Stegostoma tigrinum: one gene and its partners. The protein of the gene in region 1 purifies or fractionates together with the protein of each later gene. This does not show direct contact. Links are inferred from orthologs where the notes say so. Each region holds a gene or a part of one and is shown in the gene's direction. Other genes may lie near its edges. The genes, in order: rhoub, nck2b and pak1.

Region 1 (10,470 bases):
TTACATATGCACTTCGGAGAAGCTGGATCCAGGCAGCACCCCCCCCCCCCCCCACCGCCCCCCCCCCCCCACCCCAGGACAGAGTCAATGTTGAGACGAGATGCCAAATCTTCAGATATCAGGATGGAACAGTTAAGGAAAATCTTTTCATATTAGCTGATGATCCAAGACTGACAGAAAACACTGCTTTAAATCTGGGGCGAGAGGTGGGCAGGGAATTGTAAACAGAATCTTTTGACTTAGCAAGCGATAAGGACATCGAACTCAGAGATAGTAAGAGCTGCCGATGCTGGAGTCAGAGATAACCCAGTGCGGAGCTGGATGAGCACAGCAGGTCAGGCAGCATCAGAGGAGCAGGAAGACTGGCGTTTTGGGTCAAGACCCTTCTCCAGAATTCTCAGGGAAGGGCAGCAAAGGATGACACATGGTTTCAAAAGGAAATTGGGTGGGATCTGGAGGGAAATGGATTTTCAAGTCTACGGGGATGGACCTGGGAAATGGGAGTGTTCTGAGCTGAGTTAGCATGGGCTCGATGGGCTGAATGGGCTGCTTCCAGATGTTCTACAACAGATTATGGTTGTCACATCAATTTCAGCGACACAAATTGTTATCTCTGAAAATATCAGCCTTGAGAACATTGAAAAGTGGTAACGGTTATTGGTTTCTCCCATAGTTAAGGGGGCATTTAGCACGTTTGCCTTCATTGCTCAGACCTTTGAGTATAGAAGTTTGGACGTCATGTTAAGGTTGTGAGGGATGTTGCTGAGGCCTCTTCTGGAGCACTGTGTCCTGTTCTGATCACCCTGTTATAGGAAGGATATTGTTAAATTGAACAGGGTACAGAAGAAATTTACCAAGATGTTGCCTGAAATAGAGGATTTGAGATATAATGAATAGACTGGAGAGACTGGGTTTTTTCATTGGAGCGTAGGACATTGAGGAGTGACCTTCTCGAGGATTATAAAATCATGAACAGCATAAGTAAAGCGAAATACAAGGACCCTATCCTTAGGGGAGGGGTTTCAAGAATAGGGGCATATCTTTAAGGTGAGAGGAGGAAGGTTTTAAAAAAGGACATGAGGAATGGTTCGTGTGCGGAATGAACTGCCAGAGGAAGCAGTGAGTGTGGGTACAGGTACAATGTTTATAGGGCATCTGGATAAGTCTATAAGTAGGAAAGGTTTGCAGGGATACGGGCCAAGCACAGGCAGGTGGGACTAGTTTAGTTTGGGATTATGGTCGGCATGGAGGTTCTGTTCCCATGCTGTACAACTCTATGACTCTATAACTGATAACTTACCCAACTCGCAATAGCTGTGAGAAATTAATCAAAAGAGATCTACTGTGACCAATTATAAAGATATCAGCACGGGAAATGGTGAACTCAGTGAAGTACATCTGCCTGGAATTTCCTATTTCTGAATATCTGTAACACACAGGGATGGATATAAGTGACCTCATTCATGCCAGCTATGGTTTCATCCATGGAACAGTTCCTCATTGTCTTCTTATCAATCATTTTATTCATTGGTGGGATGTGGGTGTCTCTGGCTGGACCAGCATTTATTGGCCATCCTTGGTCATGCTTGAGAAGGTGGCGGTGAGCTGCCTTCTTGAACCCCTGTAGTCTGTATAGTGTAGGGGCACCCAGGATTTTGACCCAGCGAAACTGAAGGAATGGCGATATATTTCCACGTTACGATGGTGAGTGACTTTTTTTTAAAATGTAGAATGTCTACAGTGTGGAAACAGCTCCTTCGGCCCAACAAGTCCACACCGAACAAAAACAGAAGTTGCTGGAAAAGCTCAGCAGGTCTGGGAGCATCAGTGAAGGGAAAAAACAGAGTTAACGTTTCAGGTCCAGTGACCCTTCCTCAGAACTCCACACACCTACCCTTGGACCATCCCACCCAGACCCATCCCCCTATAACGCACCTAACCTGCACAACTGTGGTACCACAGGCAATTTAGCACAGCCAGTCCACCCTGACCTACACATCTTTGGGGAGCACCCAGAGGAAACCCACACAGACACGGGGAGAATGTGCAAACTCCATACAGATTGTTGCCTGAGGGTGGACTCGAACCCAAGGAACCTGGCATTGTGAGGCTGTGGTGCTAACCACTGAGTCACTGTGCCACCCTACAAAACCAAAGTGGAGAATGGAGGCATTTGGAGGGGAACTTACAGGGGGTGGTGTTCCCATGTATCTGCTGCCCTTGTCCTTCTAGGTGGAAATGGTTGTGCGTTTGGAAGGGGCTGTCTGAGGATCTTTGGTGACCATTTGCCATACGTCTTGTAGATGGTACACACGGCTGTTACTGTGTGTGGAGGGGGTGGATGTTTGTGGATGTGTTGCCATTCAAGCAGGGGCTGCTTTGCCCTGGATGGTGTTCAGCTTCTTGAATGTTGTTGGAGCTGTCCCCATCCAGGGCAAGTGGGGAGTATTCCCTCACACTCCTGACTTGTGCCTTGTAGATGGTGGACAGGCTTTGGGGAGTCAGGAAGTGAGTTACTCACCACAGGATTCCTGGCTTCTGGCCTGCTCTTGTAGCCACTGAGTTAATGTGGTGAGTCCAGTTGAGTTTCTGGTCAATAGCATCCCTCGGATGTTGATGATGGGATATTCAGGAATGGTAATGCCATTGAGTGTCAAGGGGTAATGGTTGGCATTCTATTTTTATTCATTCACGGGATGAGGGCATCGCTGGCTAGGGCAGCATTTGTTACCCATCCCTAATTGCCCAGAGGGCAGTTAAGAGTCATTGCTGTGGGTCTGGAGTCACATGTAGACCAGAACAAGTAAGGATGGCAGTTTCCCACCCTAAAGGGCATTAGTGAACCAGATGGGTTTTTCCCGACAATCAACAATGGATTCATGGTCATCATTAGATTTTTAATTCCTGGTATTTATTGAATTCAAATTCCACCATCTTCCATGACAGTATTTGAACCCATGTCCCCAGAACATCATCTGAGTCTCTGGATTAACAGTCCAGCGACAATACCACTCGGCCATTGCCTCCCCTCACCTGCCTCCCCTTACCTTCCTCCCCTGGATTCTCCCTTGCTGGAAATAGTCATAGCCTGGCATTTATGTGGCACTTACTTAAATGTCACTTGTCACTTGTCAGCCCAAGCCTGGATTTTGTCCAGATCTTGTTGCATTTGAGCACGGACTGCTTCAGTACCTGAGGAGTTACAAATAGTGCTGAATATTGTGCATTCATCTGCAAACATCCCCATTTCTGACCTTATGATGGAGGGAAGGCTATAGATGAAGCAGCTGAAGCTGGTTGGGCCTAGGACACTACCCTGAGGGATTCCAGCAGAGATGGCCTGGAGCTGAGATGACTGACCTCCTGTAACCAGCTCCCTTTGCGCCAAGTGTGACCCAAACAGTTGAGAGTTTTCCCACCTCATTGTGCCTTGTAGATGGTGGACAGGCTATCTACATTGGCACCAGTTTTTCTCCAGCTCCTTGATGCCACACTTGGTCGAATGCAGCCTTGGTTTCAAGGGCTGTCACTCTCACCTCACCTCTGGAATTCAGCTGTTTTGCCCCTGTTTGAACCAAGGTTGTAATGAGGTCAGGAGCAGAGTGGCCCTGGCGGAACCCACACTGGGCATCACTGAGCAGGATATTGCTGAGCAGGTGCTGCTTGATAGTACTGTTACTGACACCTTCCATCACTTTATTTATGATCAACAGAAGACTGATGGGGTAGTAATTGGCTGGGTTGGATTTTGTGTACTGAACATACGTGGGTAATTTTCCACATTGTCGGGTAGATATCAGTGTTGTAACTGTACTGGAACAGCTTGGCTAGGGGAGCGGCAACTTCCGGGGCACAAGTCTTCAGTACTATTGAGGAATGTTGTCAGGGCCTGTAGCCTTTGCAGTATCCAGTGTCTTCAACTGTTTCTTGATATCACATGGAGTGAATGGAATTGGCTGAAGACTGGTAACTGTAATGCTGGAGACCACTGTGGGAGGCTGAGATGGATCATCCACTCAGCACTTCCGGCTGAAGGTTGCTGCGAATGCTTCAGCCTTATCTTTTGCACTGATGTGCTGGGCTCTTCCATCATGGAGGATGATGTGGGAAATGGTAACGTGAGATTGAAGAGCAAACTGAGAGAATCAGCCAACACCACAGGGTGGATTATAGAAAATAATTTCCATATAATTTGATACTGTATTTGTAGATACAATACAAATACAATATTTGTATTAGTCCTAAACTCTGGGTGATCACCAAAATCATTTTGACGGGAAAAAAAATCACTTTAAAAAGTTTTAGCAGAACTTTTCTGTTTCTTGATTTCCATTCATATATCAGTGGAATATGTGGATTGGAATCATTGCTACCGTTCTGAGGAGGAATCAGAGACTAGAATCTAATATAAATCAATGAATTTGAAAGGTAAACAAATGAGTGAGAGAGAAGGTAAATGAGAGAGAGAAGGGGGGATAATTAATGAATCAGAAAGAGAGCAGGTTGAAGAGCACAAGAGAGCAGGTTCAGGACTGAGAGTGCTGGTTAACAGAACAGAAAGCATAGATTAAAGAGATAGAAAGAGAAGGTTAGAGGGTGGGAGAGAGATAGGATAAAGACTGAGAATACAGGTTACAAAGTGCAACAGAGAGCAGGTTAAAGAATGAGGGAGAGCTGATTAATGAAGCAGAAAGTGGAGATTAATGAGGTAGAAAGTGCAGGTTAGAGAGCAAGAGAGCTAGCAGAATAAAGACTGAGAGAGCAAGCTATAGACTGAGAGAGAGGGTTAAAGACTGAGAGAGCAAGCTATAGACTGAGAGAGAGGGTTAAAGACTGAGAGAGAGGGTTAAAGACTGAGAGAGCAAGCTATAGACTGAGAGAGGGTTAAAGATTGAGAGAGAGGGTTAAAGATTGAGAGAGGGTTAAAGACTGAGAGAGCAAGCTATAGACTGAGAGAGGGTTAAAGATTGAGAGAGAGGGTTAAAGATTGAGAGAGGGTTAAAGACTGAGAGAGCAAGCTATAGACTGAGAGAGGGTTAAAGATTGAGAGAGAGGGTTAAAGATTGAGAGAGGGTTAAAGACTGAGAGAGCAAGCTATAGACTGAGAGAGGGTTAAAGACTGAGAGAGCAAGCTATAGACTGAGGGTTAAAGACTGAGAGAGCAAGCTATAGACTGAGAGAGAGGGTTAAAGACTGAGAGAGCAAGCTATAGACTGAGAGAGGGTTAAAGACTGAGAGAGCAAGCTATAGACTGAGAGAGGGTTAAAGACTGAGAGAGCAAGCTATAGACTGAGAGAGAGGGTTAAAGACTGAGAGAGCAAGCTATAGACTGAGAGAGGGTTAAAGACTGAGAGAGGGTTAAAGACTGAGAGAGAGGGTTAAAGATTGAGAGAGGGTTAAAGACTGAGAGAGAAGGTTAAAGATTGGGAGGGGATTAAAGAGTCAGAATGAACAGATAATTGGATGAAAGAACAGGTCAGAGAAGGAGAGAGGTTAATGAGTGAGAGACCAGGTTAATGATTGAGAGAACTGGTTCATGAGTGAGAGTCAGCAAGTTATTGAGCAAGAACAGTCTATTGTACAGCCCCATTTCGATTCGGGGTGCAGAATGGGTGGTGTAGTAATGTTGGCAATTTTTTTTTTAAATGTCACTTTTCCCCTCAACCCTACACCTTCCTCTTCAGCGTTTCACCTGTGATGCTGAGCTGTCCCTTTAAGGGGTGGAAGCTGTGTGGGAGGTGCAAATGTTGCTGAGTTCTGTATCTACCCGTTTCAAGGGAGGCGGTGACTACCGGGTGAGAGGTTTATAAAACGAACAGTGCGGGGAGAGAGAGAGAGAGTGTTTGAAGTGTGTGGTTTAGAGGCGGAAAGAAATTAGGCTGTTGTGGGGCCGATTTGATTACTGATCGCTCCCCCCCACCCCGTGTCAGTTTCAGTGAAACTGATAGGACGCGGAAAAGTTTTGCCCAAACTTTTCAAAAATTATTTTTCGTTTTTTCTTCCCCTTCAAATGATTTTGGTGGTCCTCCAGAATTTGGAACTAACTTCCTAGGTGTTTTTTTTTGCCCGGTCTTGTGGGGGATTTTTGTTTTCTTTTGAATTTTGAAAAGAAAGGAAGTGAAACATCTCTCTCTCTCGGTGTGAGAGACGGCGATGCCCCCCCAGGACTTACTGGACTATCGCGCGGGCTTCGCACCCCCGGTGCCCCCGCACAAACCCAAGCGCAGCGGCCGGGCTGCCCGCACCCAGGAGCGGTTCCTCAAGTGCGTTTTGCTCGGAGATGGAGCGGTTGGCAAAACTAGTTTGGTGGTCAGCTACACCACCAATGGTTATCCAACAAAATATGTACCCACTGCCTTTGACGATTTCTCCGGTAAGCTATAACTAATCACTTCAGAGCGTTTTTAAACACGAGAAACTTTTGTATATTTAGTCCTTCAAGAACATATCTATGGGCTGAAGGGTCGCTTCTCTAATGTGTGATATTATGTATATGCATTTATGTATCATCATTATGCATATTCATGTGTGCACACGTTTCCTGTATATGCTATACTAAAAGTTTTTAATTATAATTTTAAATGAACTCGAGTTTTATTTTTCAGTCAATTGCAGATTGCCATTCCATTCCAAACATGCACCAAAAGACTACGAGCTGATTAAGATTTTGTTAGCATGGTTACAGGGTTGTCTATGGGACGACAAGTGTGTGTGAGAGAGAGAGTTAGCGTTAGCCCTGGGGGAGCAGGCTTGCACTGGGTTCCAGTGTTGTATGTTTTCACTGTTTCGAGTTGTACCGCTAACGCTGAGGACTGCATTTGGGGGTCTCAGCGTTGTTGGTGGGACGTGGAAAACTTTCAGATGGGAGGGCTGAGTGTGACCCTTGGATAATTGTAGGTAAAGTGAACTTGTGCACTGTCCCCCATCAAGCACTCCTAGGGCAGGGACAGCACAGGGTTCGATACAGAGAAAAACTGATAGTTTTTGTACAAAATCTACCCAATTTGCTATTTCACCCCTTGGATTCGAGGCATTGTAGTACAGGAAGAGGCCATTCAGCCCATTGAGTCCATATCCACTCCCTCCCATCAGCCCCATTTCCCCCTCCCCCTCTAATCACTCTGTCTCTTCACTCCCATGGAGAGTGTTTGTTAGTTTTATCTGGTGTTGCACAAAGACCTGTGTGGCCCTGTAAACGGAGCTACTAACCTTGATCATTTTTAATGACCTGGTTGTTATCGATACTGCATTTAGAAAGATCCCATAAAGGAGGGAAAAGGGCAAGTGGGAGAAACATGGGAGAGAGAGAGAGGGAGGGAGGGGTGGGGGCTGAGAATGATCAGGAGGTAGAGTTGAGATCATGTTACATCAGCTTATTAAGAGTCTAGTTTGAAGGACTGTTGGCTGATAGTAAAACTGAGAGAACTGTACTGTTAAGTGTCGGAAGAAAGCAGTGCAGGGAGCAGGGAGAAGGTGGAAGAGAATTTATTTCACTTCAGATCAAAAGTCAATTTGCAATGTATTATTTGAGAAGGAAGCAGCTATTGGAACAGAAGAATTGGATAAATACTCAAAAGGATTTGGGGGGAGGGGGGAAGCATAGAGGGTGAGGAATGATCTGGAGAGCTTTCAGTGAGCTAGCAGGCATGATGGGGCTGAATGGCCTCCATCTGCACTGTTAGATTTTCAGTGAATGCCAAGACCACAAGACAGGAGCAGAATTTGGCCATTCAGCCCGTTGGGTCTGCTCTGCTGTAATTGAATGGTTGGTAGGTTTCCTGACCCTCATTCCACACAAGATTTCCTCTGAATGCACAGGTGTCTAATTCTGATCTGGAAAATGGGAATACCAATGGAGACAGGGAGAGGGAGGAGGAGAGTGTGTATTGAGGTGGGGGAGGGGGGTGGTTTCCTTAATTCACTTTATGGGATGTGGGTGGCCACTGGCTAGGTCAGGATTTACTGCACATCCTTAACGGCTCTGAGGAAAAGGGTCCTTGGAGTGAAGGGAGTTTTGGTGAATACAGTTGTGCCGTTTGTCTCCAAGATCAAACAGTGCAGAATGAGGAATTGGGTCGAGAAAGAACAATGTGACAAACAGAGATAATGGGAACTGCAGATGCTGGCGAATCCAAGATAATAAAGTGTGAAGCTGGATGAACACAGCAGGCCAAGCAGCATCTTAGGAGCACAAAAGCTGACGTCTCGGGCCGAGATGAAGGGTCTAGGCCCGAAACGTCAGCTTTTGTGCTCCTGAGATGCTACTTGGCCTGCTGTGTTCATCCAGCTTCACACTTTATTAATGTGACAAACATCAGGTTTTTGCGACCCTGGTTTAGGGGATAAGTGTTGGGACAAAGCCCCTGCTTTTTCTTTGGAAAAGCTCCGCAGGCTCAATTCCTTTCTCCTGAGCATGCAGCATTGCCTCCAAAAGCCAGTACCTCAGACAGTGTGGCACTCCCTCGATATCGCCTTGCATGTCAGCCTAAATTTTGGTTTCTAAACCCTGAAGTGGGACCCGAGCTTCAAGCCCTGCTATTCAGACACTCGACAGTTCCAGGGAATTCATCAGCTGCATGAGGCAAGACATTCAGGAGAGGGGAAAGACAGCGTATTTAAACAGACAGATTTTTCCTGTGTACAAGCCTGGGCTCCCTGGAGGTGAGGGAGGGGAATGTCTATTATCTGAATGATGCCTCACCTTCCCCAGCACTTGTCCCTTTCTGTTAATATCTATTGTTTGTGCACTTCATGTCCAGCAATTTGACAATGGAAAAACGCCTGAACGTATCTCTTTGTTTGAATCCTGTTTTTGTTTCCACTAAAATAGATACTTTTCTGAAAGTATCTAACCTCTGGAGTGTAATCGCTGACCTTGCATCCTGTCTCGATGCCAACATTGTTTTAGAGAGACAAGACAGCATTTCAATGTCTGTCGTGGGTTTTTTGTTTTTTGTTTGCTACATGATATCAGTGCTCACTCCTGGAGTCCTCCACAGGGTTACAACTGTATACAGCCTTCTGACCTCGTCTAAACTGTACTAAATTTCATTCCAGTGACAGACCTGTACCCATCAGTACTGTACCCCAGTGTTATACAGTGACAGACCTGTCCCCACTGGTACTGTACCCCAGTGTTATACAGTGACAGGCCTGTCCCCCACCGGTACTGTACCCCAGTGTTATACAGTGACAGACCTGTCCCCCACCGGTAGTGTACCCCAGTGTTATACAGTGACAGGCCTGTCCCCCACCGGTACTGTAACCCAGTGTTATACAGTGACAGGCCTGTCCCCCACCGGTACTGTAACCCAGTGTTATACAGTGACAGACCTGTCCCCCACCGGTACTGTACCCCAGTGTTATACAGTGACAGACCTGTCCCCCACCGGTACTGTACCCCAGTGTTACACAGTGACAGACCTGTCCCCCACCGGTACTGTACCCCAGTGTTACACAGTGACAGACCTGTCCCCCACCGGTACTGTACCCCAGTGTTACACAGTGACAGACCTGTCCCCCACCGGTACTGTACCCCAGTGTTACACAGTGACAGACCTGTCCCCCACCGGTACTGTACCCCAGTGTTACACAGTGACAGACCTGTCCCCCACCGGTACTGTACCCCAGTGTTATACAGGGACAGACCTGTCCCCCACCGGTACTGTACCCCAGTGTTACACAGTGACAGACCTGTCCCCCACCGGTACTGTACCCCAGTGTTACACAGTGACAGACCTGTCCCCCACCGGTACTGTACCCCAGTGTTACACAGTGACAGACCTGTACCCCAGTGTTACACAGTGACAGACCTGTCCCCCACCGGTACTGTACCCCAGTGTTACACAGTGACAGACCTGTCCCCCACCGGTACTGTACCCCAGTGTTACACAGTGACAGACCTGTCCCCCACCGGTACTGTACCCCAGTGTTATACAGTGACAGACCTGTCCCCCACCGGTACTGTACCCCACTGCAATACAGTGACCCCCAAATTAATGAGCCCAGCAGTTTGTGTCCTGTAGGGGAATGGCTCCAGACTGAGTAGCCAGCTCCCAGTGAAGCTGTGAGGTGGCCTTCATCGGTCACCTGTCGTGTGAATGGCGATTCTGAAATTTATTAATCCCTGAGGTCCCTGCAATTCGGTGCTTGGAATCTGAATAAAGTTACAGACAGTTCATTCTGGCAGAGTTACTAAAGTGGGATGTTCCTGCTCTTTCTATGGATTGTACAGTCTTCCCATGGGCACAGTCCCTGGAACAGAATGTACTACACAGGGAAACATGCATTAGTGATATAAAATGCTGGGGGGCAGTGCCTTTGTATCCTTTCCCCCTGAACAACAACTTGTATTTGTTTTGCCTTTTCTTTAAAATTACGCAACGTTTTACAGGATCAGATTTCCATGTCATGCCCCTTAAGAGGGTCTGAGGGCAGACCATCAAAAGTGTGGCTGGGGTGGGGTTTGAA
Region 2 (10,244 bases), on another chromosome or scaffold:
AATAGGTGTTAAAGTACAGGGAAAGCATGAGCTCTTGCCACCTCATGCACCTACCACGTAACCCACTAACTTCCACCACACTCCCATTCTACCCATTCACTTACCTATTAACCAACATTCACTGGGACATTGAAACTTACTGTACAGCTGATTGTTTCATAAAAAGGGGTGTGCTCAGTCTACCCTGCAATACTGTTGTATATTTCTAGAAGACTCTGCAAAAAACACGGAGCGGGATTGTGGCACAGAAAGATTCCAGCAGAGTTGAAATTCAACAATGATTGCTACTTCATGGAAGATCCAGGTAATTTATCGTTATATTAGGGGTCAAAGCAATTCTTTTTTTCGAGAGCTGTTATTGAGATTTTCTTGAAGGCTACTTTTTGAATTATGGGGTGAATATTTTGGTTTTCATTCTAACTAACCAAATTTCCCCAGATACTTGCCTTTAGATTAGAAAATACCGAATGTATTCCAACGTCACTGTGGAAATAAAGGTTCGTGGTGATTTTATGGCATGGGTAGAAGATTGGCTAATGAACTGGAAACAGAAAGCAAGCAAATGGTAATTTCTGGTCAGGAAGATGTAATGTGTGCCATAGGGATTAGTGCTGGGCCCTCAAAATTTTATCATTTTTATAAATGATTTGGATGAAGGGACGTTCACTGTCTGTTGATTAGGCTACTACTTGGAGAGGGAGGGTTGTTTTATATGGATAGGGTAGGCTTGAATCCATTGATGTTTGGAAAATACGGGTGACTTGATTCAAACATGTAAGAATTTGAGGGGTCTTGACAGAGTCCATGTGGAGTAGATGTTTCACCTTGTCGGAGAATCTAGAACTTGGGGTCTTTTTCTAAATTAAGGGGTTGCTGGTTTAAGATAGAGATTAACTTTTTCTGCCTTATGGAAGGTCATGAGTCTTTGGCAATCTTGTTCTTAAAAAGAATGTTGAAGAAGAGTCTTAAATATTTTTATGGTAGAGGTAGATAGGATGTTCTACTAGTCATGAAGAAAACTTTGCCAAATACCTTAACTACATAAGCCTATGTGTGGGACAAAATTTGCTAACATCAAAGCAGCAACAAAAGGTGAAGCATTGCATTGTGCATGATGACTACATAAGCAAAAGCTGAAAAACGTGATTGTAAATGTCTACAAATGAAATTATTCACATGTTACAAAGTCGTCACATTGCTTGAAATAAACTCACCATCGCAACTACGTCTGGTGCTGTGTTGATTTTAGATTTGCACACTAGCGAACACTGACTTGTCATTACTGATGATCACAGCAGATTCTAAATGTTGGAAATAGTTACATTTACTTCAATGAAGGCAATCATCCCAAAACTTAATGAGATTTTTGGTTTGTTTTAGTGGTCCTCAAATGGTGAGAAGTGACAATGGATCTCCATTTCACAGCAATGAGTTTGATAAATTTGTAAATTATGTGGACTTCACTCATCAAAAACCCTTGTTTCCAAGAGCTAATGGAGAGGTCAAGAAAATTCTGTGTACCTTTAAGAAAGTGACTTGATGAGAACAAGTTTTGGAAGCAGGAGACCTATCATTTTATTTGCAATTACTCGGCAAGCACAGCTCCTCAATTGACTATTTTGAAGTTAGCATTTTCAAATGTAAACAAAAAGTAATTTCAGTGGCTTGCCTGGCAATATAAATCACTTTACTATGTCACCAAAAATCTGACAGAACAAGAACCTTCCAAACTAATGGCTGAAATAGGTATAAAACAAATTACTTTAACCAAAAAAAATGTTCCCAAGGGAGAAATCCAATGTCTAATTATAGAATCCCTATACTATAGAAGCAAGCTATTTGGCTCATCAAGGCTACACTGATCCCTGAAGAGCATCCCACCCAGACCTGTCTGCCCACCCCATTCCCGTAACCATGCATTTACCATGGCTAACTCATGTAGGCTGCATATGCCTGGATACTATGGAGAATTTAGCATGGCCAATCCACCCAACCTGCATATTTTTGGACCATAGCAGGAAACTGGAGCACCTGGAGGAAACCCACGCTTACATAGGGAGAATGTTTCCTGACGATGGGATTGAACCTGGGTCCCTGGTACTGGGGGGCAGCTATATTAAACACTGAGCCACTGTGCTGCCTATATGGAAGAGTAATTTGACAATTTGGGATGGCAGTCTTTTTGACATATTGAACTGTGTACAAGTGAGCACCCATTGCATTGAGATCTCAACAGAATCTTCTGAAGACAAAAATGGAGACATAGGGTGGTATCCAGGATTGTTATACTAAATCAGATTGTCAAGAGTCTGAATCTGCAGGACAACAAAAGTGAAACAAAGCAGTCTGTGCTCACTGCCAGGATCTGTTCTATTCCGTTCTTCACAGATGCTGAAACTGACTCCAAGTTTTCAACCTGTTTAGAGAACACCTTGCAAGCCATGCCTGCAGCGATAAGAGAAACAAACCTTATTTTCATATTCAGACATAATTTTTACCCTTACTAACCTTGAGTCTTTGCATCAGTGTATTAGCCAATAACTTTTTTTTATCACATTTTAACAAAATAACTTTCGTTGAACAAATCACCTTTTATCTTGTTTAAACCATGCTGCTGGTTATTTTTCAATTGAGAAATCCAGAAACCGAGCACTCTGAAGACTGGCCTGCCATATGTGAATACAATCAAGAACCAAAGGATTAAATATAAATAAGTACAGCGTGATCCATACAATTCAGACCATGTAAACCAGGAGATAAAGTGCTGGTGAAATGTGATGGCCAATTTAGAAAGCACAAAGCTCTTTATGACATGCAGACATTTTCTTGTGGCCAATATAAAAAGATCAATGATCACTGATAAGCCTGTTTTGCAAATCATCCCATGAAATGTGTCATATTTCAAAGTACTGAAAACACTATTTGCAAATGTTGATTCTGACTTAGGTATTGACAACTCAGATAAAAAAGCATGAGTTAGGCCATAAGACATAGGAGTGGAAGTAAGGCCATTCAGCCCATCAAGTCCACTCCGCCATTTAAATCATGGCTGATGGGCATTTCAATTCCACTTCCCTGCACTCTCCCCGTAGCCGTTGATTCCTTGTGAGATCAAGAATTTGTCGATCTCTGCCTTGAATGCATCTAACGTCTCAGCCTCCACTGCACTCTGTGGCAATGAATTCCACAAGCCCACCACTCTCTGGCTGAAGAAATGTTGTCTCATTTCAGTTTTAATTTTACCCCCTCTAATTTTAAGGCTGTGCCCACGGGTCTTAATCTTCCCGCCTAATGGAAACAACTTCCCAGCGTCCACCCCTTCTAAGCCATACATTATCTTCTAAGTTTCTATTAGATCTCCCATCAACCTTCTAAACTCTAATGAGTACAATCCCAGGATCCTTAGCCATTCGTCATACGTTAAACCTACCATTCCAGGGATCATCTGCGTGAATCTCCGCTGGACACGCTCCAGGGCCAGTATGTCCTTCCTGAGGTGTGGGGCCAAAAATTGGACACAGTATTCTAAATGGAGCCTAACTAGAGCTTTATAAAGTTTCAGAAGCACATCGCTGCTTTTATATTCCAACCCTCTTGAGATAAACAACAACATTACATTCGCTTCCTTAATCACGGACTCTACCTGCAAGTTAACTTTTAGAGAATCCTGGACTAGCACTTCCAGATCCCTTTGTACTTCTTCTAAACGAAACCACATCTAACTTTAGACGATATTCTAATTTTGATAAAAAGACGTAATTAAGTGGTAAGTTACAAAGTGATCAGAGATAATGGGAACTGCAGATGCTGGAGAATCCGAGATAACAAAGTGTGAAGCTGGATGAACACAGCAGGCCAAGCAGCATCACAGGAGCACAAAAGCTGACATTTCGGGCCTAGACCCTTCATCAGAGAGGGGGATGGGGAGAGGGTTCTGAAATATATAGGGAGAGAGGGGGAGGCCGACGGAAGATGGATAGAGGAGAAGATAGGTGGAGAGGAGAGTATAGGTGGGGAGGTAGGGAGGGGATAGGTCAGTCCGGGGAGGCCGGACAGGTCAAGGAGGCGGGATGAGGTTACTAGGTAGGAAATGGGGGTGCGGCTTGAGGTGGGAGGAGGGGATAGGTGAGAGGAAGAACAGGTTAGGGAGGCGGGGACAAGCTGGGCTGGTTTAGGGATGCAGTGGGGGGATGGGACGAGCTGGGCTGGTTTTGGGATGCAGTGGGGGAAGGGGAGATTTTGAAGCTTGTGAAGTCCACATTGATACCATTGGGCCGCAGGGTTCCCAAGCGGAATATGAGTTGCTGTTCCTGCAACCTTCGGATGGCATCATTATGGCACTGCAGGAGGCCCATGATGGACATGTCGTCCAAGGAACGGGAGGGGGAGTTAAAATGGTTCGCGACTGGGAGGTGCAGTTGTTTATTGCGAACCGAGCGGAGGTATTCTGCAAAGCAGTCCCCAAGCCTCCGCTTGGTTTCCCCAATGTACAGGAAGCCACAACGGGAACTATTTTAAGTTGGTGAACAAATCTTTAATCTCATTGCATATGACTAGCAGCATTGCTACATTAACAGAAAAGTTAAAACATGTCATAGATGTTACTCCGAGTTGAAAGTTCACATTGTGCTCAGGTTATTGTTTGATGTCCTGTAAACAAACCATTCAAAACATAAAACAATTCTCATTTACCAAGAGACGCAGGGTTGTAGTGTATTAAAAATTACATTATGCATTTTGTCCACTCAAGGTAACAGCTCATGTCCCAAAAAAACTGAATCTAGAAGAATAAGGAAATCCTGCACATACAACAGTTCTGCTTCTCATTGAACATTATTATTTCTTTCCATGAACTTTACGTGTTATGTTATTACATTGATAATAAAAAATTAGCAAGCAAATTGTTATGGGCATGTATATCCAGAATGCCACATCATTCGTTACTGTACTACAGTCAGGTATTAAGCAACAATTGAACACCTTGCAGCACAAAATACATTTTAAAAAAAGCTCCAGCGTGCTGTGTGTAAAAGTGTGATTATTTCAAACTTTTGTTGATTACATTGTGTATCATGGCAATGAAAATGATCTTGCTTGACAATGAATTGAAGATAGCAATGTTCATAGCAGAGTAATACAATTGAATATTGGGGTGTGTTAAAAACTCAATATAGAAGCAAATTATTCAGGCGTTCTGCCTTTTAGATTGAGTAAAAAAATTAAAACTGAAATTTCTGAAATTTCTTAGGCAAATACATTAAGAATTATGAAAAATTGCAGGTCGAAGGAGTCAAGATGAAACTTGGCCATGAGCAAACTGCATGGTGGAACAGACTTATGGTGGCAAATTGGTCCAATCCTGCTTCTATGTTCCCAGTACCAAAACAGGCAACTCACTTAACCACTGAACAATTGGCAAAAGGTCTGAACTTCTACATTAAATTGTTCACAAATTTCATTGGCACCAGAGCCAGTTCTACTATATCTAATATTCACATGAGTGGAGCTTTCCTACATTCTGAGTGTTAACAGCCAGGTTTCAGAATTTTTAAAAATGTTAAACCAATTGCTCTGCAGAACTTTAGGTGAAAGTCTAACTTTATTCAAATGAGACTTCTTTGAATCTCCTACAATATAAGGGAAACACAAACACCAAGTCCAATTCAGAATTACAAAATTATTACCATTCAGGAGGCCACTCAACCCATCGTGGCTGTTCCAGCTCTCTGACCATTTTGGATTACTGTCAAACTACTACATTTTCCTCTTTACCGTGCACTTTATATATAGTTAGATAATCATACTCTGGACCACGGCAGTTGAATCTGCCTCCGCCACAGTTTCAGCTAGTGATTTCCAAGACTTTGGTGAAAAAGTTTTCTTCCTCACCTCGGATTTGCATCTTTCGAAACAATAATTTAACTTTTATTAGTATGGGATACAATCAGAAGAACTCTGCAAGTGTCATGTGTGAATTCTGTCGAAGAAAATTGGGTGAAGTTTTAAAGAGGGGTCAGCATTGATCAGCAAATGGCGTTCCCCACACACAGACATCAGGAATGTATTGCAAGCCCAAGAAAAGGGAATACTCGCCGGTTCCCGAACATCTCCTCCCTTTTAGCTAGCGCTGGGCAAACGGACGGCATCGCGCATGCGCACCCTGCCCAGCGATGGAACGGGGGAAAGACGGTTCTGCTTCTGCGCACTCGGCCACGTCTGGCGTATTCCATTTGCTGTGATCCGGGGAGGAGAGTGGATCGGGATCGGGATCGGGATCGAGAGAGGAGGCAGAAGAAGAAGAAGAAGAGGAGGGGGCAAAGGAGAGAATCGAGGCTGCTCGGAGTCGTTGGCAGGAAAAGGAGATAGTGGAAAAAAGGACGGACGATATATACAGTCGTTGGAGAAGAGGAGCAGAGCGGGAGAGGCCGGAGGTGAGTGCTGGTGCTTGCGGGCTGCCGGCTCTGCCGCTGCGGTGGCGGCCTCGGTGTCAGGGCCCTGCCCCCGGTACACGATGGCGCATGGCCCGGGGTGTAATTGGTGGGGGGCAGCGACGGGCAACAACTGTCACTGGGCGAACTTGGAGGCTCCTCGCTTCCCAGTAACCATTCAGGTGCGGAGCAGAGCAGAAAGCAGCATCCTCAGGAAAAAAAAGACAAAAGCAACACACCACCTCCAAAAAGTACAACTTCCTTCACATGGACCATTTCCTTCTCTTTTTTCCTTCTTGACGAAGCAGAGCTTTAACATTACTTGTTGGGCTGTGATTTCCAATTTTTTGATGCATTAAACACTACCCGCTTTGTATTCCGGATTGATGGTTTGATAGCAAACGAGTTATGTCCATTTTTGAACCTCTTGGACCACATGCATGCTTTATTTTTCCTCTCTTTTTAATTTTAATTTCGTCTCCGCAATCCTTTATTTCTTACTGGTGAGATACAGTTAGTTTCACAAGTGCCTCTGTGAACTTTCCTGAGTTTGTGTTTGGATTTTAATAGTTGGCAAGATGTCACGTTGGTCAGTTATTTCCAATGTAGTTCAACACAGTGTTGATCCAGCATCTACACTCCAGCAGTTGCATTTCTATATCTCCCAAAGTGTCTCACAGGAACATAATAGACACTAAGCCCAGAAATAGATTTTATGGAGAGAATTAAAGCAGTAAAAAGCCATTGAGAGTTCTGTGGAGGGAATTTGAAAGTAGTATTTAGACAGTTGAGGTCATTACTATTGATAGTGGAATGAAGTCAATGGGAAAGTGCTTTAAGAGCCTGAAATTCTTAGAACATTGTAGAATTAGAAGAAGTTACTGAGATTGGGGAGGTAAATGATTGTGGAGTGATCTGAACATAAGAATCAGAATTTAAAATTCTGAAGTGATAGGCATTTAGAATTTAATGCAAGTATGGATATGCTCAATAGCTCAAGTTTATGATAAGAGGTAGAAAGTAGGCAGTATATGAGAATGTTGGAATGAATGATCAATGTGGGTAGTAATGTCATGGATAAGTATTTCGAACTGTCAGCTGAGACAGGAGTTACAGAGGTATGTGTAAGATGGCCTTCATGATGAAGAGGTTAAGTATGGTACCTGAGATCCCAACACTAGTCCAGCTTCAGATACTTGCTGAGGAGGGCTACGTTCAGCTGGTAATGAGGGAAGGGAGCTTATAGAGAGGTCCAAAGTAATGCCTTTGGTCTTCTCAGTGTTTAAAGGAGGAATTTGCATTTCAAGAAGTCGAGAGCAATGATTCCTAATTTGCCTTTCCCAGTATAGCTTGCAATGGAATTCATAAAGACTGGATCTTCAGCCCGTGCAGTTATGGTCTGTATAGCTGTTTGCTTAAATTCAAGCTTCTGTGGCCATTCCCTTTTTGTATTCTCAGCCAGTGAAACAACAAAATTAGTGGCTTTGTGTGCTTAATCTCAAGAGATGCATGAGATTTTGTAGAAATCTGACAGTTAAATGCTTTGCATGTAGGTGGTTCCTCAAACTAGCAATGAGATTGTGGTACATGTAAGTGAAAGATTTTGCATTTCAGGATGTGAAAACTCTTGCAATCTAGGAGTGCCGATAGCTTAGAAGTTTCTTTTCACTCATGGTCTATGGATGCTCCATGAGTTTAAGTGACTTCAGTATTTAATTTATGCAAAAATCATAAGTATTGAAGCAAAGCAGTTTTGTGGAGAGGTTTGCAATTTTGATCTCTATTAAAAGCATTATCAGATGTTCAGTCAAATAATATTTAAAACTATCAAAACTGCATTTTGAGATTATGAATTTGGATGGCATGTCACTGTTTTCTAGCTTAATTCTGTTTCATGAAGCCATTTGAGTGTTAACGATAAGCATATGGTTAAAATAACAACAATTCATATTGTTAATTCATAGTTTTAAAACTGGGAGCACCTAGAATAAAATCTTAAATTCCCTAAAATTGCTTTCTTTATCTTAATCTAATAGGGATTGTAACATACTATTTGCTGACCTAAAGGCTTATAGGCACATCATGAAATTGCATTATATTTCAGCTTGCATTGTCCCAGATTTACTGTAATAATGACATTGAAACTAACAACTTCTGGAGTGTGTTTGTGCAGTTAAATACAGGAATCTCACAATTGCTGCCAGTGACGCTATGCTTTCCTGTAGAACACATGTGACCCCAGATTGTAACAAGTAAAAATCACTGAATTAACAAAACTCATTTTCTTATGCTGCTAATTTCACTGTAAAATAGCCTTGAAAATTCTTTTTTGAATGAGGCATAACTGAGTTTTTAACAGTTTACTTAATAACTACTTCTGAGCATCTTATCCCTGGGGGAAAAAAAATGAATTCTGTATTGAGTGTCAAATTTCATCATTTTGCTTTTTTAAAAAATATATTGAATGTTTACAGTTGAGCTTCTATTTTAAACACACGTTTCTGGGCCAATCAATCATTTGACGTCTAAAATTTTATTTATAAGTGAAAGCATGTAATACATTTTACTGAGATAATGGGAACTGCAGATGCTGGAGAATTCCAAGATAATAAAATGTGAGGCTGGGTGAACACAGCAGGCCAAGCAGCATCTCAGGAGCACAAAAGCTGACGTTTCGGGCCTAGACCCTTCATCCATAGGATGAAGGGTCTAGGCCCGAAACGTCAGCTTTTGTGCTCCTGAGATGCTGCTTGGCCTGCTGTGTTCATCCAGCCTCACATTTTATTATCTTAGTACATTTTACTCACTAGTTTTGTGATCTGTGGGAATATTAGTGTGTTTGGTGGTTTACTCTGCTTGATGACATAATTGTTTTCGGACACCTACCAGTCCCCTTGGCTTGGCACCGGAATCAACTGATGTCTGGAAATGATAAATTCGTGCTACAGATTTTACTAGATCTTTGTTGGCAATTTTTATCAAAATCTGCAGTGAGCACAAATGCTTCTCAAATGATCATCAAAGTTACAACACTCAATCATTGTTATCTGCTGAGTTGTGACCCATGGATCTGCACACTCGAGAGGTCAGTCCCAGACCCCATCTTGTATTTTATCTCATTGTCTCGTCTGATGTACCTTGCTCAAACGGTTATGGTCTTTCCTGGTACATAGGAAAGGTGCCCACAGGATGTTTGTACCCATACATCTTGTAGAAAATGAAGATTGAATATACAGTCTCAATTCAGAGTATCAGAAGAGAGTGTATTAACTATTTGTAAGAATAAATATCTTTAATACAGAGTAAGACTATATTTGCCATTAACCATATCCTAATTGTTTGCCATGTGGTGGCCAGCAGTAATATAAATTAATAAAAATGACGTGCTCCATTATAGAAATTATGATGACAAAATGTCATTCATCTTCAAATTAGGAGTTTTGATTTAACTGCAACATTGCCTGAATTTTAAATGTCTGTAATCTCTGCATTGGCTCAAGATACTTTTGAGATTCCGTTCTTGGATTTTTAGCTTAAATTGAAATATCAAATACTTTATCAAGGTTTACCATGGCTTGACATACACTGTTACCTAAAGCTGAACTAGACTGAACTCCTGTTTTTTAGAAAAACACACAATGCCTCAATTATGACAATAAATAAGTTAAAGAATGCATGTTTTAGTTTCTGTCTGTTATTCTACATGTTCCAAGTGAAAGAAAATTGACTGAAAGCAAGTCTCGGAGATGCTGATGCTGGAGTCGTAGATGACAGTGTGGACCAGGAAGAGCACAGCGGGCCAGACAGATTCGGAGG
Region 3 (9,720 bases), on another chromosome or scaffold:
TTTCAGTACAGCAAACCCATCTTCACATATATATGGTCCTCATTATCAGCTTTTCTTCTTTCCTGGCATAGCATTATCCATTCTATTATTTACTTACTGTCTATCTCCACCAATTCTTCCATTCCATAAGCACTCCTCCTCAACCCCTGTCTTCAGGATATATACCATTCTGCCACCACCACCCCCCCACCCCAAACTACTGCTAGTTCTAATGAAGGGTCGCTGGACCTAAAATGTTGACTCTCCTTTCTCTTCACTTATATTGCCAGACCTGCTGACTTTCTCCAGTATTTCTGTTTTTGTACCATGTTTATTCAGCTTGATCACATTAAGTTTTCTAAATGGCCCACTATAACCTATGACTTACTGTAGATCTGAGGAATTGTTTGTTGAAGAAAATAAAATTTGCAGGTATCTTATTTACATGCTTTTGCTGTTTAAATTTCCTCCTCCAGAAATACTCTTCTGGACACTTTTGCAAATCATTACGTCCTCTGGACATAGCTTCAGGATGACATCTTAGCGAAAAGATGGCAAATCTGAAAATGCAGCAAAATGTCAGCCACAAATGCAGCCTGAATAGATATAATTTTTGCTGATTTAGAAATAGCACTATTGGAAAATACTTTGCAAATTTAGTGAAGACAGAGGTATGTTGCCAAAATTTTCATTTTGCAATTGTCAAGAAATATGCAAAAATGCCACGAAATTTGGCATTCTTCCTTTTTATTTGGGATGTAGTTGTTGCTGGCTGGACCAGCAGTTACTGTCTTTGAGAAGGTAGTGTGAGAGATGATTTATTGAACCATTGCTGTTCTTGAGGTGTAATGCTGATTGGCAGGGAGTTTCAGGATATTGACCCACTGACAGTGAAGGAATTGCAATATAGGTCCAAAGAAGGTTAGTGAGTGGTTAGAAGGGAACTAACATAGGAACAGGAATAGGCCATTCAGCCCCTTGAGCCTGCTCTGTCATTCAAAACGATCATGGCTGATCTGTGGTTTAACTCCATATGCCTGCCTTGGGCCCATTTCCCTTGATCTTCTTGCTTAATAAAAGTGTATTCATCTCAGATTTAAATCTCACAACTGAATTAGCACTGACCACCACTTGAGGAAGACGGTCCCGACCCTCTTTGCATACTTTCAAGCATTTCTCCTGAATGGTCTCAACAAATTCTTATTCTATGCCTCCCCGTTCTAGAATCCTTAATAGTGGAAATAGTTTTTCTTTGCTTACCTTGTTTTTCCCTGTTAATATCCTGAAAACCTCAATTAGATCACCCTTTAACCTTCTAAATTCTAGGGAATATGGGCTTAATTTGTCTAATCTGTTTTAAAAGTTAACTCTTGAAATCCAGGTATCATATTTGGAAACCTACATTGACCAGGGACAAAACATCCTTCTGAAGGTGCGATGCCCAAAACTTCCCTCAGTGCTCTAAATGGAGTCTGACTCGAGTTGTATACAACTGCAGCATAACATCTGTGTCCTTATACTTCAGTCCTTTAGATATGAAGGCCAGCATTCCATTGGCCTTGTTGACCATTTTCTGTGCCTGTTCGTACATTTTATAGTGCTATGTATCTAAACCCCCAAATCCTGTTGGACTCTTTATTTAACCTCGTGCCTTTTAAAAAAAACCCTGATCTATCCTTTCTTGGTACAAATCAGTGGTAATATCATAGGTATCTGTTTATCGATGAGAGCAATGCAAAGCTTTGGTAATGCGTCTTTCTTTACAACGATCTTCAGGTTCTGAGCAACTGACCAATTGCAAAGTTAATAAAGTTGCCTCAGTTGTACAAGAGCTCAACCTGGTGCAGTAGTTGCCAAGACTAACATGTGAGGAGTTTGAAAATCCCTTAATGTAATCACCACTGGTTTCTATTGAACATTCTCCCTACGAGAAGTAATTAGGAAAGCGATTTACATGAAAGTTATTCGAACACTACATATTTTTACCTTTCCATCAGAAAGCACTTGGATTTTCTACAAAGTCTTTCAGAATATCATCCCAATATTCTTTGTTGGTAACAAGATATATTTGAAGGACTGTTTCCATTGTTTGTATTGTGGTATAAATAGCTGTCCTGAACCCAAATGCCGTATACACAAGTATCTCCTACAAACAGCATTGACATACAGCTCACATAGTTTGTCTCAGCATTGTTCGTTGAGTGCTGGATGGTGAGGATTAACTGCAACAGTAGTAAAATACAGGAAAACTGCTTCAAAAGACTGTGGGAGTGAGTTCTTGAATATTTTTGAGACAGAAGTAGATAGATTCTTGTTAAGCAAAAGGATATTTATCTGGGGTTGATGGGTATAGGGGACAATTACATCAGTAACAATTTTACTGAATGACAGAACAGGCTCAAGGCAAGATTGGCCCTTGCCTGCTCTTAACTTGTATGTTCATATACTGCAGATGCTAGAAGTTGAAAACGAAAACAAAAATGTTGGAAACACAGAAGGGCAGGCAGTATCAGTGGAACACGAAACAGAGTTGTACATCAGGTCAGTAACTACTGATCAAGAAGGCCTTCTAGGGTGAAATCCTCTGCTCGTCTGCAAAATAGAACGATGGTATCTGTCAGATCTACAAGAGAACAGACAGTGCATCAGTTTAATGTCTGAAAGATAACCCTTTCTGTATTGCCTGATGGCCAAAGTGTAAGCCCAAATATTTCATGTACAGAAGCAAGATCTGATGCCCATTCATGGAGGATGGTTTTATATATAGTCCAACCATGGCAAGAAACTGCATCTAGATTTTCTTTAAAGCAAGGTGAAACCGTTGCACTACAGCTACTACTTGGTTCTTGCTGACCAGGACACGCTCCTGCTTTTGCCCCTGCTGTAGGGGTCGACCAGGGCAGGCCAACACCATTCATGATCCCATTACCTCAGGGGACCTCCCACCCACAGCCTCCAACCTCATTGTTCCCCAACCCCGCACGGCCCGTTTCTATCTCCTTCCCAAAATCCACAAACCTGCCTGCCCTGGTCGACTCTTTGTCTCAGCCTGTTCCTGCCCCACCGAACTATTCTCCACCTATCTGGACTCCATTTTCTCCCCTTTGGCCCAGAAACTCCCTACCTACGTCCGTGACACCACCCACGCCCTCCACCTCCTCCAGAACTTCCAATTCCCTGGCCCCCAACACCTCATTTTCACCATGGACGTCCAGTCCCTATACACCTGTATTCCGCATGCAGATAGCCTCAAGGCCCTCCACTTCTTCCTGTCCCGCAGGCCCGACCAGCCCCCCTCCACTGACACCCTCATCCGCCTAGCCAAACTCGTCCTCACCCTCAACAACTTCTCATTCGATTCCTCCCACTTCCTACAGACAAAGGGGGTAGCAACTCATATTCCGCTTGGGAACCCTGCAGCCCAATGGTATCAATGTGGACTTCACCCACCGCATCCCAAAACCAGCCCAGCTCATCCCCTCCCCCCACTGCATCACAAAACCAGCCCAGCCTGTCTCTGCCTCCCTAACCTGTTCTTCCTCTCACCCATCCCTTCCTCCCACCTCAAGCCGCACCTCCATTTCCTACCTACTAACCTCATCCCACCTCCTTGACCTGTCTGTCTTCCCTGGACTGACCTATCCCCTCCCTACCTCCCCACCTACACTCTCCTCTCCACCTATCTTCTTTTCTCTCCATCTTCGGTCCGCCTCCCCCTCTCTCCCTATTTATTCCAGAACCCTCACCCCATCCCCCTCTCTGATGAAGGGTCTAGGCCCGAAACGTCAGCTTTTGTGCTGAGATGCTGCTTGGCCTGCTGTGTTCATCCCGCTTCACACTTTATTAACTACTGGCAAAGTTGCCTGGACCCACAACTAGTGGCAGCTGTCACTATGGCGATGGTGTAGTCCTGCCAACCATTGCTTTGTCTACTTGGCAATGATGTGGATGTGCTGGTGTTGGATTGGGGTGGGCGATACGATGGCTAAGTGGTTAGCACTGCTGCCTCACAGCACCATGGACCTGGGTTCAATTCCAGCCTTGGGCGACTGTCTGTGTGGAGTTTGTACATTCTCCCTGTGTCTGTGTCAATTTCCTCCAGGTGCACTGGTTCCCTCCCCAAGATGTGCAGGTTACGTGGATTGGCCTTACTAAATTGCCCATAGTGTTCAGAGATGTGTAATTTAAATGGATTAGCCATAGGAAATACAGGAATAGGTTATGAGGGTGAGTCTGGGTGGGATGCTCTTTGGAGAGTCAGTGTGGACTTGTTGGGCTGAATGGCCTGTTTCCACACTGTAGGGATTCTATGAATCTCAGTCAGATGAAGGAGCAGCCATCCAAAAACTTGTGATTTCAAATAAACCTGTTGGACTATAGCCTGGTGTCATGTGACTTCTGATTTTGTCTACATGGCAAGACTGCTGTCCTGCAAATCTTCCACCATGATAATGCAGGGTTATTGATCAAATGTCAACTCTGTTCCTAGACCTAGCGAATAATTCCATTACAAACTGTTCACATCAGATTTTCTTTTTTATTTACTTGTGCTGGGCCAGCATTTATTGTGCATCCCCAGTTTCCCATCACAGGGTGGTGATGAGCTGTCTGCTTGAACCACTGCACTTCATTTTCGTAGGTTGACCCATAATACTGTTAGGGAGAGAATCCCAGAATTTTGACTCAGTGATACTGAAGAAACAGCAATATGTTTCTGAATCAGGATGGCAAGTGGCTTAGAGGGGACCTGGTAGGTGGTGGTGTGACCATGTATCTGCTGCTCTCGTCCTTCACAATGGAACTGGTTGTGAGTTTTGAGGGAACTCTAGTGATTGGACCAGATGGACCTTGTTGACTATGAGTACCTTGACTGTGGTTCTTAAACTGGGCCAATCAGGAGCCACTAGCTGACCAATTTTAACGGGGGATTCAGAATCTCCTCAGGTCAGGGGGGCTGATTCTGAGCTGGCTGGCCACAGCCGACCGTGCACAGGTAAATTTGGGATAACAAAGTGTGGAGCTGGATGAACATGTGTTCCTAAGATGCTGCTTGGCCTGCTGTGTTCATCCAGCTCCACACTTTGTTATCCCGAATTTACCTGTGCACGGTCGGCTGTGGCCAGCCAGCTCAGAATCAGCCCCCCGATATCTCGGATTCTCCAGCATCTGCAGTTATCTCTGATACAGGTAAATTCGGGACGACTTGGTGATAGGACACTGGCCTCTGTGCAATTATTTCAGGAACAAAACTGAAATGTTCTGAAGAAGAGTCAGGGGAACTGAAATGTTCTGAAGAAGAGTCAGGGGACCTGAAAACTCTGCTTCTCTCCACAGTTGTTGCCAGATTTGTTGAGTTTTTGTCTTTGTTTCTGCTTTCCAATATCTGCAGTTCTTTGGTATGTTTGTGGGTTTTGAAAGTGCTGTTGCAGGATCTTTGGTGAATTTTCCTACAGATGGTTGCGAATGTCAGCACCTGCACCATTCTGCTATTAGCCTAAATTCTTGCAGAGAGGAATAGTTTCAAAACACACCCACTGCCCTGGCCCTTTAAGAAACTGCAATGATGTAATGCGCTGATCATGAAGCGAAGCCACTTCCGGTCCACTCGTCAATCAAACCTGCGTGACGAGGGGGCGGGGATGGTCTTTGATTGACGTGGGTTACAGCCAACTGAAGCCGGTGTTATGGGCGTGGGGACCAATAGGAAGTAGGAACACGTGGGGCGGACCTAGGCAGGTTAGGTTGAGCCGGCCGGCCTGACAACGAGAGGAGCGGCATCCAGCACCGGGCAGCGGGGAGTGAAGGATAGAAACAGAGCGTAAGAACAAACCAGCAGCGCCGCCGGGATCACAGCGACATCGCGAGAGACTACATTTGGAAGCGAACGAGGCCACTTACCCAGCTTCTCGTCAGCGGGCGGCGGGAGGTGAGGAACGTGTTTTTCGGCTCCCCTCCTCCTCCTTCACCCTAACTGACTTCGAACGGCAGATTCGAACCGTCCAACCAAGGGACGTTGGCGAACCGGCCCCGCCTCGCGCCTGCTGGCGACCGTCTCCGGGACAACCGCGCGCTCCCAGGGAGCCGTCGCCAGGGTAACGGCGGGCTCCTGGCAACCGTCACCGGGGCAACCGCGCGCGGCCTCCTCCACTGCTTTTCCCCCTTACCCGTTTCTTAGCGACCATCACTATGGAAACGGCGCGCGGGCCGCGAGTAGAATGTCGTGTGCTTCTGAAAACCCTTGCCATTCCGCCCAGTTCTCCCGTACTAGCCCTTGGGCGGAGTTGTCCAATTTGTCCTGATTTCCCTGCTGTTTCCACGCGGCCCTTTTAGCTAAGTCATTCGGGAATTTATTTTTCTGTTTTCGTTCTAATTTTAGGTAATAAATGCTTTCATCGTTTTCTTTTTGCCCAATTTTCCGTTGTCAAATGTGTCTCGTGTTCAGTGATCATTCTTACCACTGGAAGCACTTTCTCCTTATTGACTCAGTTTAAAAACTTTTTCATAATTTTGATTCCCTCTTTCATATCTCAGCCAGCCTCCTCTGCATAGCCGTGCAATCACAGATCCTCCAGTTACTTCGTAGAAGAAGATTCACTCACTCATTTGGTATCATTTCTAGCCCATTCTCTAGGACGAGAGTACCCTAGCCCTGTCCAACCTAACCTGTGGTTGATAAAAGATCTTGCATTATCTCCTTGATTGCATACTTTTCATCTAACAGCTTTGTTGTCTGTCCCAAATCCCGTTGAAGTGATACTGTTTACGTTTGTGGCATGTTGGAATAGATACAGCATAGAAGCAGGCTATTCGACCTGTTCTCACTCGCGTCCCTTTCCCAAAATAGCCTTGCAAATTATTCCTCTTCAGATACTAACCCATTACCTTTTGAAATACACAATTTCAATCTGCTTCTGCTGCACTCTTCGGTGGTGACTTTCACATCCTTCTATATTTTTCTGCTGATGTTACAATTAGTTTCTTGGTGTAATATTTTTGGACTAAATACTTGTGTTCAACTATATTGCTAGCTTCCATATTAAGGTCTGTTCCAGAGTGCTGATTGTGGTTTTTTGATTTGCTGAGACCTTTTTGTAGTTGGAAAGTAAAACTCCTCCTGATGTGACTGTTATTTATCAATGATACTCTGGTTCCAGACACGTTTCTGTGCTGTATACTATGATACCTCATCCATTTGTGTCTCCGACCTCTTTGACTTTGAATGTCATTAGTGGAGAGCATCTTCACAGTGCACTGTATTAAGAGCATTTTCAGGATAAAGCCCTACGTGAAATGTCTCATTGTTCAGACTCTTTTCCTGTCTTTTACCCATTCTTCTTTTCCTGATGAATGAAACTACAAAATAATGTCCCTTTTGTTACTTGTTTTACGCTCTTGAATGCTTCAGATGGAGGCATTGTTATGGCAAATATGCAAGTCCAGATTTTGCAGTTACTTAATTGTCTGCCACTTTGCATTATTGATGCAGTGGGGGACGGTGGGCTGGTGATTCCTTCCTAGTGTGACAGATAATGGAGCTGCTTCTTTATATGCCCTCCTGCCAAATCGCATTCATTTCAGCAAGGTTCACTTAGAGTCATGGAGATACACAGTAGGGAAACTGACCTTTCGGTCCAACTTGTCCATGCCAACCAGATATCCTGTGTAAATCTAGGAGATAGCAAGAACTGCAGATGCTGGAGTCGGAGACAACACCGTGTGGAGCTGGAGGAATGAAGCAGGTCAGGCAGCATCAGAGGAGCAGGAAAGTTGACATTTCAGGTCAAGACCCTTCAGATAATTTCTCCCTCTCCACTTTGTCCCTTTTAAATAATTTGCTGCTTTTGATTTGAGCACGGCCTGGATGAGTTTGGCACTGTTGTCATACACTACAAAAGGGAGCTAGTCACTTCTTTAAAAGGCTATCTGACTAGTCTCACTTCCCTGTTCAATTCCTGAAGCCTTGCACATTTTATCCTTGAAGTGTTTATCCAATTCAACTTTGAAAGTTGCCATTTTGTCTGCTTCCACTGTACAGACATTGCATGGACCACTGATTTTAATCTTTGTGATATTGCTCAATGTGGTCACTGTCTCACCTCCTCTGCTGAGGCCCTTAATGACTTTACATGCAAACCTACAGGTTAGGAGCAAGATTATACCACTCAGCACTGCATGTCTGCTCTGCCAGTCAACAATGACTACGCCACCTTCCTACCCCCAATAATATCTCACCCCTGTCCTTAGCAAGAACCTTATCCATGTCTGTCTTTAAAAGTTTCAAATGATCTGCTTCTACAGTTTTTAAATGAAGAGAGTTCCAAAAAACCTGTGACTCAGAAATATTTCTCTTTGGCTCTGACTTAAATGGGTGGCACGGTGGCACTGCTGGTTCACAGCGCCAGGAACCCGGGCTCGATTTCAATCTTGGGCGATTGTGCAAACTCCACACAGACATTCTCCTACTGTCTGCATGGGTTTCCTCCCACAGTGTAGACTAGGTGTTTGGCCTTACTAAATTGCCCATAGTGTACAAGGGTATGTGGGCTCACGGGGATACGGTAGGGGGCTGGGGTCTGGGTGTGGGTGGGATGCTCTTCAGAGAGCCAGTGTGGACTCAATAGGCCGAGTGGTCTGCTTCCACACAGAAGGGAGTTTATGATCCTGCTATGAAATGGTGACCCTGTATCTTTAAACAGTGTTTCCACACTGTAGAATTTCTATGACCCATTACATTTAGATTCTCCCATGAGGAAGCATCCTTTTCACAACATGCTGTAAAATCCCTTCTTTGTTACTTCTAGACACTTTTATTCCACACACTGCTAGCTGGTCTTCCACATTTTGGATATTTTCCAATCAACCTGGTCAGCAATGTTATTGAATAACTCAGGAGCAGGTGTGCCTTGAACCTGGGTCTTCTAGTCTGGAGCTAAGGAAACTACCTCAAAGCCATGTCTCTCCTATTCTGAGCCCTGAAAAACCTGCTTTCATGTGTTAACTTGCAGAAAGTCACATTCCCCTGTCAATCTTAAGTTCACTAAAATAGAAGCAAAATACTACGGCTGCGGGAAATCTGAAATAAATTCAGAAAGAAACTCAGCAGGTCTGGCAGTATCTGTGGAGAGAGAAACAGCTAAACATTTTAGTTTGAGTAATACTTTGCTTCACTTCTTTCTTAACTCTGGTTTTTCCCTGTCTGTTTCTCTGCAACATCCATCCAGAGATTCTGTGAGACCTGTCTTGTTTCTCCAGCATTTTTATTTTTATTTGCGTTCACTGACCTAAATTGACTCACCTCCATTCAAATTACATCCTGTTTTTAACATTTCTTCCTTGTTTTCAAATCCCTCTAGGGACTCCTCACATGTCCCTACCTCTGCAATCTCCTCCCGGTCCGTGAATGCTCAAGATTTCTGAACCTTTCCGATTCTGATATTGTGACGATCACTGTTTTTAACCTCTTTACATAGGTGGCTGCGTCATCAGATGCCTGGATCCTGACCTCTAGGGCTTCCTAAACCTCTTCCCACTTCAGACTTTGTCTTTCAGACACTACCAAAAGCAGAATTCTTTGACCATAATTTAGTCGCCTGACCTATTTCCTTATGATATCAATAATATTGTTTTATGCTCAAGTGAACCATCTCGGAATGTTTTATGATGTTAAGAGTGACATTTTTTAGAAAAAAAAAGTTGATATTGCTGGGAAGTGAATTCTAAGAATTGGTGACAGGATGAACA

What was found.
Region 2: the proteins of rhoub (region 1) and nck2b purify together in Homo sapiens (co-immunoprecipitation; 3 studies listed by BioGRID and IntAct, with this or other methods). This does not show direct contact. The link is inferred for Stegostoma tigrinum from reciprocal best matches to the Homo sapiens genes RHOU and NCK2.
Region 3: the proteins of rhoub (region 1) and pak1 purify together in Homo sapiens (co-immunoprecipitation; 5 studies listed by BioGRID and IntAct, with this or other methods). This does not show direct contact. The link is inferred for Stegostoma tigrinum from reciprocal best matches to the Homo sapiens genes RHOU and PAK1.

What each region holds. Positions count from the first base shown.
Region 1 is NC_081392.1:10,789,951-10,800,420, forward strand, and holds the start of rhoub (ras homolog family member Ub), read left to right. Parts: upstream 1-5,581; 5' UTR 5,582-6,153; coding exon 6,154-6,373; intron 6,374-10,470. UniProt on the Homo sapiens protein: Binds to and activates protein kinase PAK1. Plays a role in the regulation of cell morphology, cytoskeletal organization and focal adhesion assembly during cell migration. Also stimulates quiescent cells to reenter the cell cycle.
Region 2 is NC_081359.1:64,797,851-64,808,094, forward strand, and holds the start of nck2b (cytoplasmic protein NCK2b), read left to right. Parts: upstream 1-6,315; 5' UTR 6,316-6,431; intron 6,432-10,244. UniProt on the Homo sapiens protein: Adapter protein which associates with tyrosine-phosphorylated growth factor receptors or their cellular substrates. Maintains low levels of EIF2S1 phosphorylation by promoting its dephosphorylation by PP1.
Region 3 is NC_081359.1:105,733,773-105,743,492, forward strand, and holds the start of pak1 (serine/threonine-protein kinase PAK 1), read left to right. Parts: upstream 1-5,697; 5' UTR 5,698-5,905; exon of another isoform or gene 5,906-6,032; intron 6,033-9,720. UniProt on the Homo sapiens protein: Protein kinase involved in intracellular signaling pathways downstream of integrins and receptor-type kinases that plays an important role in cytoskeleton dynamics, in cell adhesion, migration, proliferation, apoptosis, mitosis, and in vesicle-mediated transport processes.